Oryza sativa Japonica Group: one gene and its partners. The protein of the gene in region 3 interacts with the protein of the main gene of each other region in a pairwise test. Links are inferred from orthologs where the notes say so. Each region holds a gene or a part of one and is shown on either strand. Other genes may lie near its edges. The genes, in order: auxin-responsive protein IAA33, auxin-responsive protein IAA31 and auxin response factor 11.

What was found.
Region 1: the proteins of auxin response factor 11 (region 3) and auxin-responsive protein IAA33 interact in a two-hybrid assay, tested with the Arabidopsis thaliana proteins (2 studies listed by BioGRID). The link is inferred for Oryza sativa Japonica Group from reciprocal best matches to the Arabidopsis thaliana genes MP and IAA33.
Region 2: the proteins of auxin response factor 11 (region 3) and auxin-responsive protein IAA31 interact in a two-hybrid assay, tested with the Arabidopsis thaliana proteins (2 studies listed by BioGRID). The link is inferred for Oryza sativa Japonica Group from reciprocal best matches to the Arabidopsis thaliana genes MP and SHY2.

The regions. Positions count from the first base shown.
Region 1 is NC_089038.1:33,839,143-33,842,512, forward strand, and holds auxin-responsive protein IAA33, read left to right. Parts: upstream 1-1,704; 5' UTR 1,705-1,886; coding exon 1,887-2,320; intron 2,321-2,448; coding exon 2,449-2,524; 3' UTR 2,525-2,677; downstream 2,678-3,370. UniProt on the Arabidopsis thaliana protein: Aux/IAA proteins are short-lived transcriptional factors that function as repressors of early auxin response genes at low auxin concentrations.
Region 2 is NC_089046.1:26,036,508-26,040,781, forward strand, and holds auxin-responsive protein IAA31, read left to right. Parts: upstream 1-1,673; 5' UTR 1,674-1,801; coding exon 1,802-1,953; intron 1,954-2,051; coding exon 2,052-2,414; intron 2,415-2,710; coding exon 2,711-2,789; 3' UTR 2,790-3,690; downstream 3,691-4,274. UniProt on the Arabidopsis thaliana protein: Aux/IAA proteins are short-lived transcriptional factors that function as repressors of early auxin response genes at low auxin concentrations.
Region 3 is NC_089038.1:34,411,285-34,415,956, forward strand, and holds the start of auxin response factor 11, read right to left. Parts: upstream 3,141-4,672; 5' UTR 2,716-3,140; intron 2,069-2,715; 5' UTR 1,941-2,068; coding exon 1,850-1,940; intron 1,741-1,849; coding exon 1,628-1,740; intron 1,479-1,627; coding exon 1,380-1,478; intron 1,300-1,379; coding exon 1,243-1,299; intron 1,059-1,242; coding exon 903-1,058; intron 816-902; coding exon 731-815; intron 622-730; coding exon 531-621; intron 96-530; coding exon 1-95. UniProt on the Arabidopsis thaliana protein: Auxin response factors (ARFs) are transcriptional factors that bind specifically to the DNA sequence 5'-TGTCTC-3' found in the auxin-responsive promoter elements (AuxREs). Seems to act as transcriptional activator.

The DNA of each region.
Region 1 (3,370 bases), about 570 kb from region 3:
TCGTCGATCCTTGTGGTCCTGTAGCTTATAGCGCGCGCGCACACGTTGTCTTGCGACGTGCTGTGCATGCATGCTGCTATCGATGGCCGGCCGGCCGGCAGCCACACGGCCATGGACGTAGGACGTTAACTTACGCGCTGTAGGTGTACACTGTATCACACCCAGATCGATCGATCTGCACGCACACGACCGTACGTGCGCGCGATCACGAATTTAATCCACACGGACATTATTTATGACCTTTAATTTACTACAGACGCAATATTCATGTAATTAAGAGCAGCGGGCTACAGATTTGTAGCCAGTTGTAGCACAAACTCCAAAGCGCAGTGTGTGTATGATAGGTGGGACCAGATATTAATAGTGTAGTATGTAACTATTGTATAAATGAGCTATTAGATTAACTATAAATAAATTGGAACTAGTAGTTGACTATACTATTGAACTTGCTCTAACACAGACCTGGTAAGAGCACAATTCAACCAACCACAACGATAGAGGCAGCAGTAACTGTAACTCACATGTTTCTCGCACCAAATCAACCGCGCATAGTACTCCGTAGCTTAGCTCCAATCCAACGTCTCCCCGGCCGCGCGGCCGCCCGTTTTTCCAGCTACCACGACGGGTGCAAAGACCGGAGAAACGTACGTACGCGAGCTAGCTAGATCGGTCGCCGCGCGGGCGGCGCCGATCGAGATGCTGCATGCGCATGCGAGAAGCCCCCGCGCGACCTGCAGCGGCCAGCTGCGCGAGTCGCACGTATACGAAGGTCCATCGATCGGCACACGGTATCCGCGGTGGTCTCGTGCGGTGCGCGCGCCCCCCACCACGACCTCCGGGATTGCACGAGCAGACTCCCGTTTTTTCTTCGTTTCTCTCCGGACGCCGCTGCATGCGGACGCGCGCGCACGCCCCGGGCGGCTAACCCGATCGATCGATCCCCAGGGGGAAAGAAAATGGCAAGAAGGCTAGTTTTGTTTAATTCCTGTCTCGGGTTTGGTTGGTTGCTGGCACTGCACTACTGCTCGACCCCTTTACTCACTTGCAAGCAACCCGATCGACGTCCCACCGGTCGTCCCTGCTGGCAATTTACTTGTGTGTTTGTGTGTGTTATATATATATATATATATATATATATATATATATATATATATATAACACACACCGTGCACGTACTAGCACTGTAGCGCACCCATGACTGTCTTTCTTCAATTGAAATGAATTATTGTCGTCCCTAGTTAATTACTAGCAATTCTCAATATATAATTTTGAATTGAAACCAAGTTCATTACGACAAAAAGAAAAACTGAAAAGAATACTGGTATTGTATTAAATGCAGTACAGTGATCTCGTTAATTTGCAACCATACCTTAGCTCCACACTCCACGAAAACTATTCTAAACTTAACTTTCGAGGGATATCTCCTCGTTATTTACATGTCATCTAAATAATTATAAAAAAATTTAATAAGATAGATTAATATATGATAAATCACTAATATCAAATTTAACTTCTACAAGTTACAACTGAAAAAATAAATTTGAATGTAAGTATACGTTAGTTAGCCATAGTTTAATTTATTTTTCTAAGTTATACAAGCTAAATTTTAATCAATTGGATAACATACAAATAGTGAGCTCCACTCTAGCCTCTATGACTCCATCTTCTCCTACAAAACGGTCACACGCTTCACACGGCAAAGACACAATTAACCTTCCACAGAACGGTGCTCCAATCACTCCACTTCATCCTATTTAACCCACCCCCTCTCACTGTGCGTCTGTGCCTCTCTTCACACACACACGCACAACCAACCGCGCCGCCCACACGCCACGAGCGCCGCGCCGGCGAGCTCTTCGATCAATCGCGCCGGCCGCCATCGTCCCATGATAAGCGGCGCCGGCGGTGAGCAGCAGCAGCAGCAGGACACGAAGCGGCGGCTACCGGCGCCGACGACGTCCGAGCAGGAGAGGCGGCAGAAGCAGCACCGCGGGAAGATGCTGAGGCTGTCGGTGCAGCAGGGCGACGACGTGACCGCGGGCGTGGTGCCGCCGGTCACCGTCGTCCTGGACGGCCGCTCCATCTGCCACCGCGTCCACCTCAGCAAGCACACCGGCTACCGCAGCCTCGCCGCCGCGCTCCGCCGCATGTTCGTCGACGCGGACGACGACGTCGGCGCCGCCGACGAGGCAGCTGGCAGGAGCAGCTGCAGCGACGCCGACCGTGGCGGCCTCGACCTGTCCAATGCCGTTCCAGGGCACGTCGTCGCGTACGAGGACATCGAGAACGACCTCCTCCTCGCCGGCGACCTCAACTGGAAGTAATTAGCTTCACACTCATCTTGTTAATCTCACTTCGTGTTCATCTCGTGCTTTGTCTGAATTATTCTTGACGCATTTCTGTGTGCTGTTCATCTGATCTGATTCTCCTGCAATACATCCATGTCAGGGATTTCGTCCGTGTGGCGAGGAGGATTCGGATCATCCCGGCGAAGCCATCTAGCCGGATGAGGCCTCAATCTTAATCTGCTCGCTTGTAACTAAACCACATAAACCTCTAGCTACTACTAGATCCAGTATTCCTCCTTTCGAAATCGAAATAGTTTGTGTTTTTGTCATCAGTTTGTAACGTCGTTAAGAAAATTCAGTTAGTTATTATAATCCCGTTTTAATCGTGACCGGTAATGTGCACGTACGGTTGAATTGATCTGCAAATTAGTAAGGTTAATTAATCGATTCATTACAGGTTAGTTAATCAAATCGCTGCTCGTGTCACATCTTGTTCGCTGTACATGCTTAACTGTGCGTGTACGTGGAGTACGTCGTGTGCCGTGTCCGTCTCTCTCGTGAGTCATCGTCTGCGATTGACTTGTGTGTTCTTGCTTTGAAAGTGAGGGCTTGTGTTCACTGATTGCTTGTGTTTCTCAACTGCTCGATCGATCGATCAGTCTCTCGATAGCTTCTTGAACACCGACGCTTTGTCCGAACGTGCAGATATGCAGGTACATATATACAGAGATGCAGTTACAAGTAGCCGTCAGTTAACCAGCTCGATCAGTACTCGTCGATCTCGATGATATCGAATCTATCAGTGTAGCATCAGCTACGTACTATGCTATAAAAGTCGATTTCAATTAAGCGTCTGCTTCTGTTAATTTGGAGATTGGATCGATTTACACGCGTATGCACAAGAACAGTTTGGTCGATCGAGTTGACGATAGCAATGGATGAGACTGAGATTGGGATGGCCGCTGTGTCCAGAAGCATAACTGTCATGAACAGCGTTCTATTACTGCCTGCGTACGTAAGGAGTACGTGGATATGTACTTGGTCTCCATTAATTACTGAATTTTCGTGATAAAAACAGGCAG
Region 2 (4,274 bases), on a different chromosome or scaffold from region 3:
GCGAATTTTAGTTAAAAAGATTCTTTAATTTGGTGATGAACTGAACATATCATTATTCTAATTTGTGATGTAGGAGGTTGCAGCAGCATAGGGCATCTTGTTGATTAGTTGTGATGGTCAAATGGACATGATGTTCGAAATTTCGGTGCAATTGATCATAGGTTGTAGCAAAATTGGCAGAGGGAATCAAATTTTGATGCCATGCTAGTAGCCAGCTAGTGCTGTTGCTAAGCATATCACTGTGTGGTTTCAGCAAATCGAGGGGCAAAAGTTTAATTAAATTAGTAGTAGTTACAGGGAAGAGACTGGTTCACTGCACACATGAATGAGACACTGTACATCACAGTATCTTGCATAGATTGATGGTGAGAACTTTTCATAGTTAATAAAAGGATATAAAATGTAACAAGTTGGGACAGATCAATCGTCTTGTCAATATTAGGAACATCGATCTACAGATCAACCAGTACTCTCTGCATGAACTCTGATGGATCCTAAACTGTTTTTGGCTAGTGCAGATATATGTTAATTACTAAATTGTCAATTAGACAAGTGAAATAAACTTGTAAAGCCAAGCAAATATTTTTTCAGTTTTCTTTCAAGCTGGACCAACCATTCATGACACCCAATAGGCCAAATTAATTAATTAAAGCTTAATTAACTAATTTACCCCTAAGCAAGGGACCAGCTGCTTGCTCTCATCTGAAAAATATGAGAGGCCGCAGCTAGCTTAGCTTTGGTTAGTTAAAGAAACAGCACCGGTGCAAACAAACCATACTTTAGTTTGCAGCTTCTAGCTTTCAAATAAAAAGGGTTAGTTAATTAACAACAACTAACAGTACTCAGAAATTGGGAAATAATGTTTGCACTAAACAAGCAGCCACTAGGTGTTTTAATTTCCCTAGGCCCCCATGGCCAACACCAAAAGAAGAAAGGCCAAAGAAAGAAGAAACAAAAGGTAGTGGAGAGAGATTCACAAGGGGATACACTACATGATGAGAAGCATGCAATAGAATACTGCAACATATGTATACACTCCATGTTACATTGTTCCATGCCACTATATCTTATTGGACAATATGGAGAGGGGGAAACAGCATTGTATATGCCAAAAGATGCTCCCCCAAAGATCTCTAATGATAGCATCCTAATCATGGCTTTGGCACCCTTGTTTAACTATCTCAAGAAAAAAAAAACCTTCAGACCCCCTAACTAATTATCCGGATCCACAGGTACAGAAAACGATCCATACCCAATAACAATGCTGCAACTAGGTACATAGTAGGCTGGATTCTTAAACTCGTGCCAGCAATGCATACATTATAAATAACACTTATCGGATAAGGGTTACGAGGATCAATAACCGATGACCCCGTATTACAATGAACAATAGGGTAGTGGGGGACCCGAAACCCGTTACCCGACGAATCTGCATGAGGCGTCAGGGGGCCCACGGGGTCGGCCCGCCCCTGTCGCGGGCTGACCCGGCATGGCCCTCATGGCTGCACCCTAGCTACCCCCACAACCACCCTCCCAAGCGTGTGGCCTGGCAGTGGCACGTATGGATGTACGTACATGCACTCGTGTGCTCACATCCACATGTGTGTGCTTCTTCACATAGCTAGGGTTTGTTAGCTAGGTCTATAAAACATCGCCATTGCTGCTCAGCTAGCAGCCACGAAGACAAAGTCAGAGGTCACACAGCTCATCGTCTCGAGCTACCTAGCTGGAAGAAGAAGAGGAAGAAGAGGAGGAGGAGCTCGTCGGAGTTTAGTTGGTGAGTTCGCCGGAGAGATCGATCATGGAGAATCTGAAGGCGACGGAGCTGAGGCTCGGGCTGCCGGGGACGGAGGAGGAGGCGGCGCCGCCGCCGTCGACGCCCAGGGCCGGAAGCAAGCGCGCCCTCGCCGGCGAGCCTGATCAGGCCAAGATCAAGCCCGCCGCCGCCGCCAAGTAATTAATATCAAGTTCTTCTTCGTCTTCGTCGCCGTCGCCGCCATGGATGGCAGAGCTAGCTCTGATACGTGTCGTGTTTGCTGCTGCTGCTGCAGGGCGCAGGTGGTGGGATGGCCGCCGGTGAGGTCGTACAGGAAGAGCTGCCTCCAGCCGACGACGACGACGACGAAGAGCAAGCCGCCGCCGGCTGCCGCGGCGGCGGAGACGCAGCAGAAGGAGGATGTCGCCGGCGCCGGTGGGCTGTTCGTGAAGGTGAGCATGGACGGAGCTCCATACCTGAGGAAGATAGACCTCAAGGTGTACAAGGGCTACCGGGAGCTTCGCGAGGCACTGGAGGCCATGTTCCTCTGCTTCTCCGGCGGCGCCGCCGCCGACGCCGCCGTCAACCCGTCCGACTTCGCCGTCACCTACGAGGACAAGGACGGCGACCTCATGCTCGTCGGCGACGTCCCATTCGAGTAAGTTGCTTCCAATTTTTTTTAGTTTAATTAAGTTTAATAAATTTTTTTTACAACTTCTAGTATCATAAATTAGTATCATTAAATCTAACATTAATATATTTTGATAGTATATATGTTTGTCTTTTTAAATGCTACTATGTTTTTCTATAAATTTGGGTTAAACTTAAAATTTGCCTAAAATAAAATCAGAACAGCTTATAATATGAATCAGAGAAAATTGGAACGACTTATAGTATGAGTCAATTATTTACTTGAATTATTTCTAATTAACTCTATGATTGTCTTTTTAATAGGATGTTCATTAGTACGTGCAAGAGGTTGAGGATCATGAAGGGGTCTGAAGCAAGAGGCCTAGGAGCAACAAGGGGTTAAAAACTGAACAACAACAAGAAGAAATCATCATCATGTGTGCATGAGCAATTCTTTTGTTCTTTTTGGGTTCTCCAAGACATGCAATCATCTCATCTCCTCATTGCAACCTTCAAGAAAGAGAGAGAGAGAAAGAAAAGGAAAGCAAAAAAAAAAAAGATGCAGTGAAAAAAATATGTGAAGCTTAATTGGAGTCATCAGATTGCAAAGCATGCATGCATGTGTGGATGTGTGGCTTTAATTTGTTTTTTTCCTCTTAATTAGGTGTTAGAAAACACAGAAGGAATGGAGGTTCGAGTTGAGCCTCCATGTGTGTTTGTACAAAGCAAACATCTTTTTTCTTTTACATGAATGGTTGATTACTTTTGTAACTGGAGGGAAGAAGAATGCATGTATGCATGGGCTGTGTGTACTTCTCCCTCTGGCTTCAATGCTTTGATTTCCATCCAGATTATCATCAATTTGCAAGAACGGCAGAAAATTACTTCTGCATCGTTCATTATGGTTAACTAATCAGTAACAACTTCACCATATGCTCACTTAGTCCACTAATCCTTCACACTCTTGGTGGTTTTTCTGAATCTCAATTAGGAGGCACAAACTTAAGCCATCAGTCATTGCTCTGTTTCCAAGAAGAAGCAGAGAACACAAGACAATTTTCTCCTCTTCAGACAGCATCACTTTGCAAAAAAGGGACAAGCTATGATTCACCCAAGTGACTGAAGTAAAAGAAAATTATAAATATATACAACTGCTTGGTGTGTCCAAATCTTGTCCTTTCATCAGATGCTCCTTGTCTTGACCCTTGAGCAGGTTTAAACATGTACGGAGGGAGAGATTAACAGTTTTAACAATCCAAGATCCAGTTAAATCTTTAATTAACCATTGATCCACTTGTCAAGAGTGACAAAACCAAGCAAAGTAATTAAGCTTTATTAGCCAGAGAGGCAGATAGATCAAGCTGGTCATCAAGGGACAAGCCTTCCATGGTCAGTGCTGAACTAATCTGTGTGCCTGAAACTACACACCCACACACACACAACTCATCCAGCAATGGTAACATGCACCTGTCTAGAGCTAGTCAGACAGACTACATGTGGTGCACATGAAACCCAAGGAAAAGATTAATGCTGGTCAAGGCTATCATCCATCTAGCTTAGCCTCACTCTGATCAGAGAGAGAGAGAGAAACAGGGAGTTCAGAGAGTAGCATCCAATGCAAGGGCACTATACTCCTTGTCTTCTGGGATGGTGTGATGGGTTTTGGCTAATGGAGAACATAATGCCTGGAGATTGAGAGGGTAGTAGGGTCCAAGCATGTGTGTGTGAAGCAGCAAGGAAAATGAGCTGGGAGATGAAGATTGATGCATATGTCAGATGGAGAGTCCCTGTCTGGTTTCAGATTTGCTTGCATGATTGATTAATTTCCTGATGTTATGTTAGGTTCAACAAGAGCTGGGTGTTATATGTGTTAGTGTATTTATTGTGG
Region 3 (4,672 bases):
TGTGCATGCTATCAGTAGATAGAACAGAAGATGACAACATTGTTTGTTGTCGCGTGGCTCGCCTAACACCCAAAAGAAGTTGTGACTTCTCATCCCTGCAATCAGGAACTTCTGTCAAAAATGGCATTTCATCCTCACATATTTGTGAAGAAAATATTATACTATTACATACAAGCTGTTGTCAGTCCGAGCGAGTAAAAAGTGCGGTGTCCTATAACAGTCATATTCACATTAGAACTGACAAGAAATAGAAAAGTTATTGTTGTTGAGATTTTAATATTCTAGAAAGTTGAATATGTATATATTGGTTAAGGTTAAGTAGATAGCCGCTGTAGGAAAATCTAATACTGGTAATGGACATTCTTTCGAAAGAGCAAATAACATAAGCAGTTCTTGTGGTATTTCAATGCATGAATTGTTGCATAGGGTTTAGTATCAAAAGGCTTAACAATCTCAGATTCAATTTTCTGATAGCACACACAGGTTAAGTAACAAACAGACTTTGCATGTATTTATAGAACTTATTTCACCTTATAAATAAGACAGAGTCCCCTGCTTTTAGACGCTTTGCCCCAACAAAGAGACTCCATCCAGTTGTTAGAAGATGTCGTTTTGGCTGTCCTGCAAGGGACAAGAAAAGAAGAAACTTTTAGGAGACAGTGGCCCAAGAAGCATATATTTATGTATCAATGAACAAGACAAATAAAATCCGAATATTGTTTGACCCTACCACGATAAATGTGACGGAATGTCCACATGTTATCATGCAAATCTCGAACAATAAGCTCCTGGTTAGGAGGTTGCATTGAGTAATCCTGTCGGTACAAAACTTAAACCCATGAGCTGAAGCATTTTTTTACAGAAAAACTATGCGGCAAACAAAATGTAGATAAAGGCTATACCAGTTGTGGGAACAACTTCTCTGCAGCCCTTCGTGGCACCGAGAAACCACCATGTGTACTCGTATCACTTGCGGTTAAATTCTTGCAGAAATATTCAGTGGGGTGCTTGCTTTTGGTATAAGCACCAAGAGTTGGAATAGGGAATACATCCGTTTCCTACAATAGACGGCACAAATAAATATTAATTTAGAATCCATCTTTTATTCCTTGCACACTGAATTTTTGTTTCTGTAATCACATTTTATGCATTTCAATAACAATTGGTGTTTACATTTTAATAGAACCAAATAAAGTAGTACAGAACTCAGTACACAATGTAACAGAGAAACATCATACTTACAGAGTTTACTGGCTGAAGGGTCATCTGTGCATAAACTTCATCAGTGTCCTTGTCGGCCTGTGCAAAACAAACAATCAAGCACAGGCAAAACACATTTGGCCACAAATATGTTTGGAATTGAATTTGCTTGAACTCACATGCAAGGTGATGTTGTGAACTTGACACAGCAACTGAGATGGCAGGTTTGGGTAGTTCGGAATGCGGGAATTTGGAATCTTTCTAGTTGTCGCTGCAACCTGCAAGGGCATCATCCCTTCAACATTGATCATTCCAATAGCAATCCCAAAGTATTATTGAGCATCAATCTGACCAAATTGTTGTCTATGGTTGCAGCATTTCAAAACGAGATTAGCTGCAATTTGTGAAAAAAGACAGTAAGATTGACCTGTTCACTGTGCCCCTGAGGGAAGTAGTACACGAGGCTCCCCCGCTGCGGCAAGCACACAAGCGGCCCGGCACAAGCGTGCCAGAGCTCCGAGTTGATCACCTTCTTGGCACCTGAAGAAGGAACGGACGCTACTCGCATCATGCCAAAAATTGCAACAAATTTGTGCGCAATTATGCATCAACAAGCAGCAGAATCTGACTGAAAGTCTGAAACACTCACCCTGTGTTTCTCCCATGAGCTGCATTTCGTCGAGCAGCGCTGCGGCATTTCTCAGAACACCCGTCTTGGCCTTCTCCTGCGAGGACGCCATATGTCTCCAAGAAACCCAAGAACAGCTGCAATCTGAATGCCAAGATTCTGATAAAACCTCAATTCCAGAGTACTAAGCCAAGCGAGCAGCTTAGCCACACTTCACCATCGACCAAATGTCACAAATGCCTGCATACCATTGCAACAGAGGCAGAGGATATCATTTCATACGGTGTGCAGTGTGAGCAGCAGTCAAAGTGGAGAGCCAAAATAAAATAGGAATTCGTGGAGAAGGGAGGTTCAAAATGCATTGGCTAGCTATAGCTTGGGTGTTGGGTCCCCATGGCGGCCAAAACCACCTCCCTTTCCCAAGAAAGCAGGCGGCTTTTGTGTTTTTACGCCACACAGCTCATGTCTCTAGGATTAGTAGCAGTAGAAAGCTACGCGGAGAGTAGTAGCACTAGTACTAGTAAATGTCACCACGAATATATCAGCTACGTGCTCGACGAAATGCCACTTGGCAATCATCCTCTGCCGTGCAGCTTGTAAATGCAAACACAACTCCAGGCGAATGCCTACGAACAAGGGAACAGGAACGCCACCCCTCTAGTAGCACTAGTACCAGCCCTCCTTCCCCCAGGTGAGGCATTTTCACAAGAAGCGAAGACCATCACTCACCCATGCATATGAATGTGTGATCGTAGTCTCAAGAACATCGGCAATGCCGGAGGGAACACCCAAGATCACCGGATTAGAACAACCAAAAACTTAAAATGGGTAATGCTAAGAAGAAGCAAGTAGCTGAGAGACAAGCCAAGAGCACAGAGCCCACTCACCTCCTGAGAGAGGAGAAGACGCCGCAATGGCACCCCACGAATGTCTCCAGTGGCACCCGCCCAAACCCGAAGTATAAAAAAGAAGCAGCGAGTGTGGCAAAACGCGCAACGCCAGCAAAGGCAAAGCGGTGAAGAGAGAGAGATGGGCAGGCGAGCTCGTGCTACAGCTAGGCCCGGACGCACGCGAGGAGGAAGAAGAAGAGGTTGTGGAGTGGAGTAGACGGGTGTAGGAGTAGTAGTAGGATGGGGGCAGTAGATGGCAATGATACGGAGGAGGGTGGTCGTGCTCCCCTCTTCCCCTTTGCGCCTTTTGCCTTCTCTCTCTTGGTCTTGGCTTCCCAGCCTCTCTCCTGCTGCTGCTGCTGCTGCTGCTGCAGTGTGTGATGCTGCTGACCGCGGCTGCTTTGCGCGAAAGATGCCGACCTTTCGAGGGGGGAAGCCATGATTCCTCATTTGCGCAGGCTCGCTCGCTGCGTGTCGTCCCTCGCTACCCGCTGTAGCTTTTCCTTGCGTCGTCGTCGTCAGTCGATCGCCTCTCTCTCTCTCTCTCTCAATGCACGACACTATCCCCATTTGCTCGCTTCTCTTTCCCATGGTGATCCCCCACTTGTCAGCGCAGGCGTACGTACTGTCCTCGTGTCCAGCCAAACGCGACGCGCCGAGCCGTGCCACATCTCTGTCCCTCCCTCCACCATGCGACGCACGCCACATTTTCTCGGTCTCGTTTTCTCACGCACGCGGCCACGTCTACAACACTAGCAAAAACGTGAGCACAATATAACAGCTACTACTCCAACCGGTAGATCGACGGATGGAAGGCATGGCGTATTTGGCCTCGAAAGGTTAAAAAACAAATGGTACGCCAATAATGAGATTCCCGCGAGCGGTTTGCTTTTCGCTGTTGACGATAAAAAGTCACTTTTTCCCCCTCTTCTTACCACCGCCAGGGATCAACATGAGGAATCATGCAAATCATCGCTGTGGCGTCCGATGACCTACTGCTGCTGCGGCTAGTAGCCTGCTACTACGATCGATCGAGTGAAGTGTGTTGTAGCTCACCACGAATCATTTCGTTTTCCTCACGCTTTTGCACCAGTTGGGACAAAAGGTTCGTTTCGTTTTACAAATTTGCGAAAAGGCATGCGTTTACATGCGTCTATGCCATGCCGTCACAAAAAGCGCGCGATTAGTACGATTACAAAAAGAAGTCATGCGACGACTTTCATATTGTGAGCTGAAAATCCACTAACCTTTGCATTGTATCCAAAAGCAGTTTTTTTGGGACAGAACTCACATCGTGCACAGTTGCATACTCCATCAGTATAGTGTACTGTGCAATTGTGCAGCGTGTATACCTTAGGACATTCATAATGCGCCACTAGTATTTGCGAAGCCTCGCACACCACCTAGATCAGGAACAATGTTTAGCTACATGTGCCACAGTGCAAGTTACTACTTGTGGGTCCCACCAGTATCAGCTTTTACCACTTTTTTCTCTCCCCTCTCTCCTGTCTTCTTTCCCCACCGCATTCACCGCACTGAGCAGCCAAGCGGCGACGGCACCGACCGGAGGGGCGACGGGGCTTGGCTCTCGCCGGCGCACCAGCCTCCTCCTCCCCCCTCCCCCCCCCCCCCCCCGCGGCGAAAAAAGATGAGCGCCGGCGCGCGGAAGTGGAGGAGGAGCTTGGCGGCGGCCCGACTCCCCCAGTTGATCTAGGACGGCATCGGGCGGCGGGGCAATCAAGCGGCGGCCCGAGCTCCTTCCGCACGAGCTGCGCGGCACCGGGCGCGTGCAGCTGTAGGATCGAGATGTCGACTAGAGGGGGGATGAATAGGCGATTTAAAACTAAATAACACCTAATCAAATCTAACTTAAGTTGCTAGGCTTGGTGAGGGTGAACTCTAACTAAGCAACTAAGTTATGTTTTGCAAACCTAGGGTGATAGTGGCTCAATTA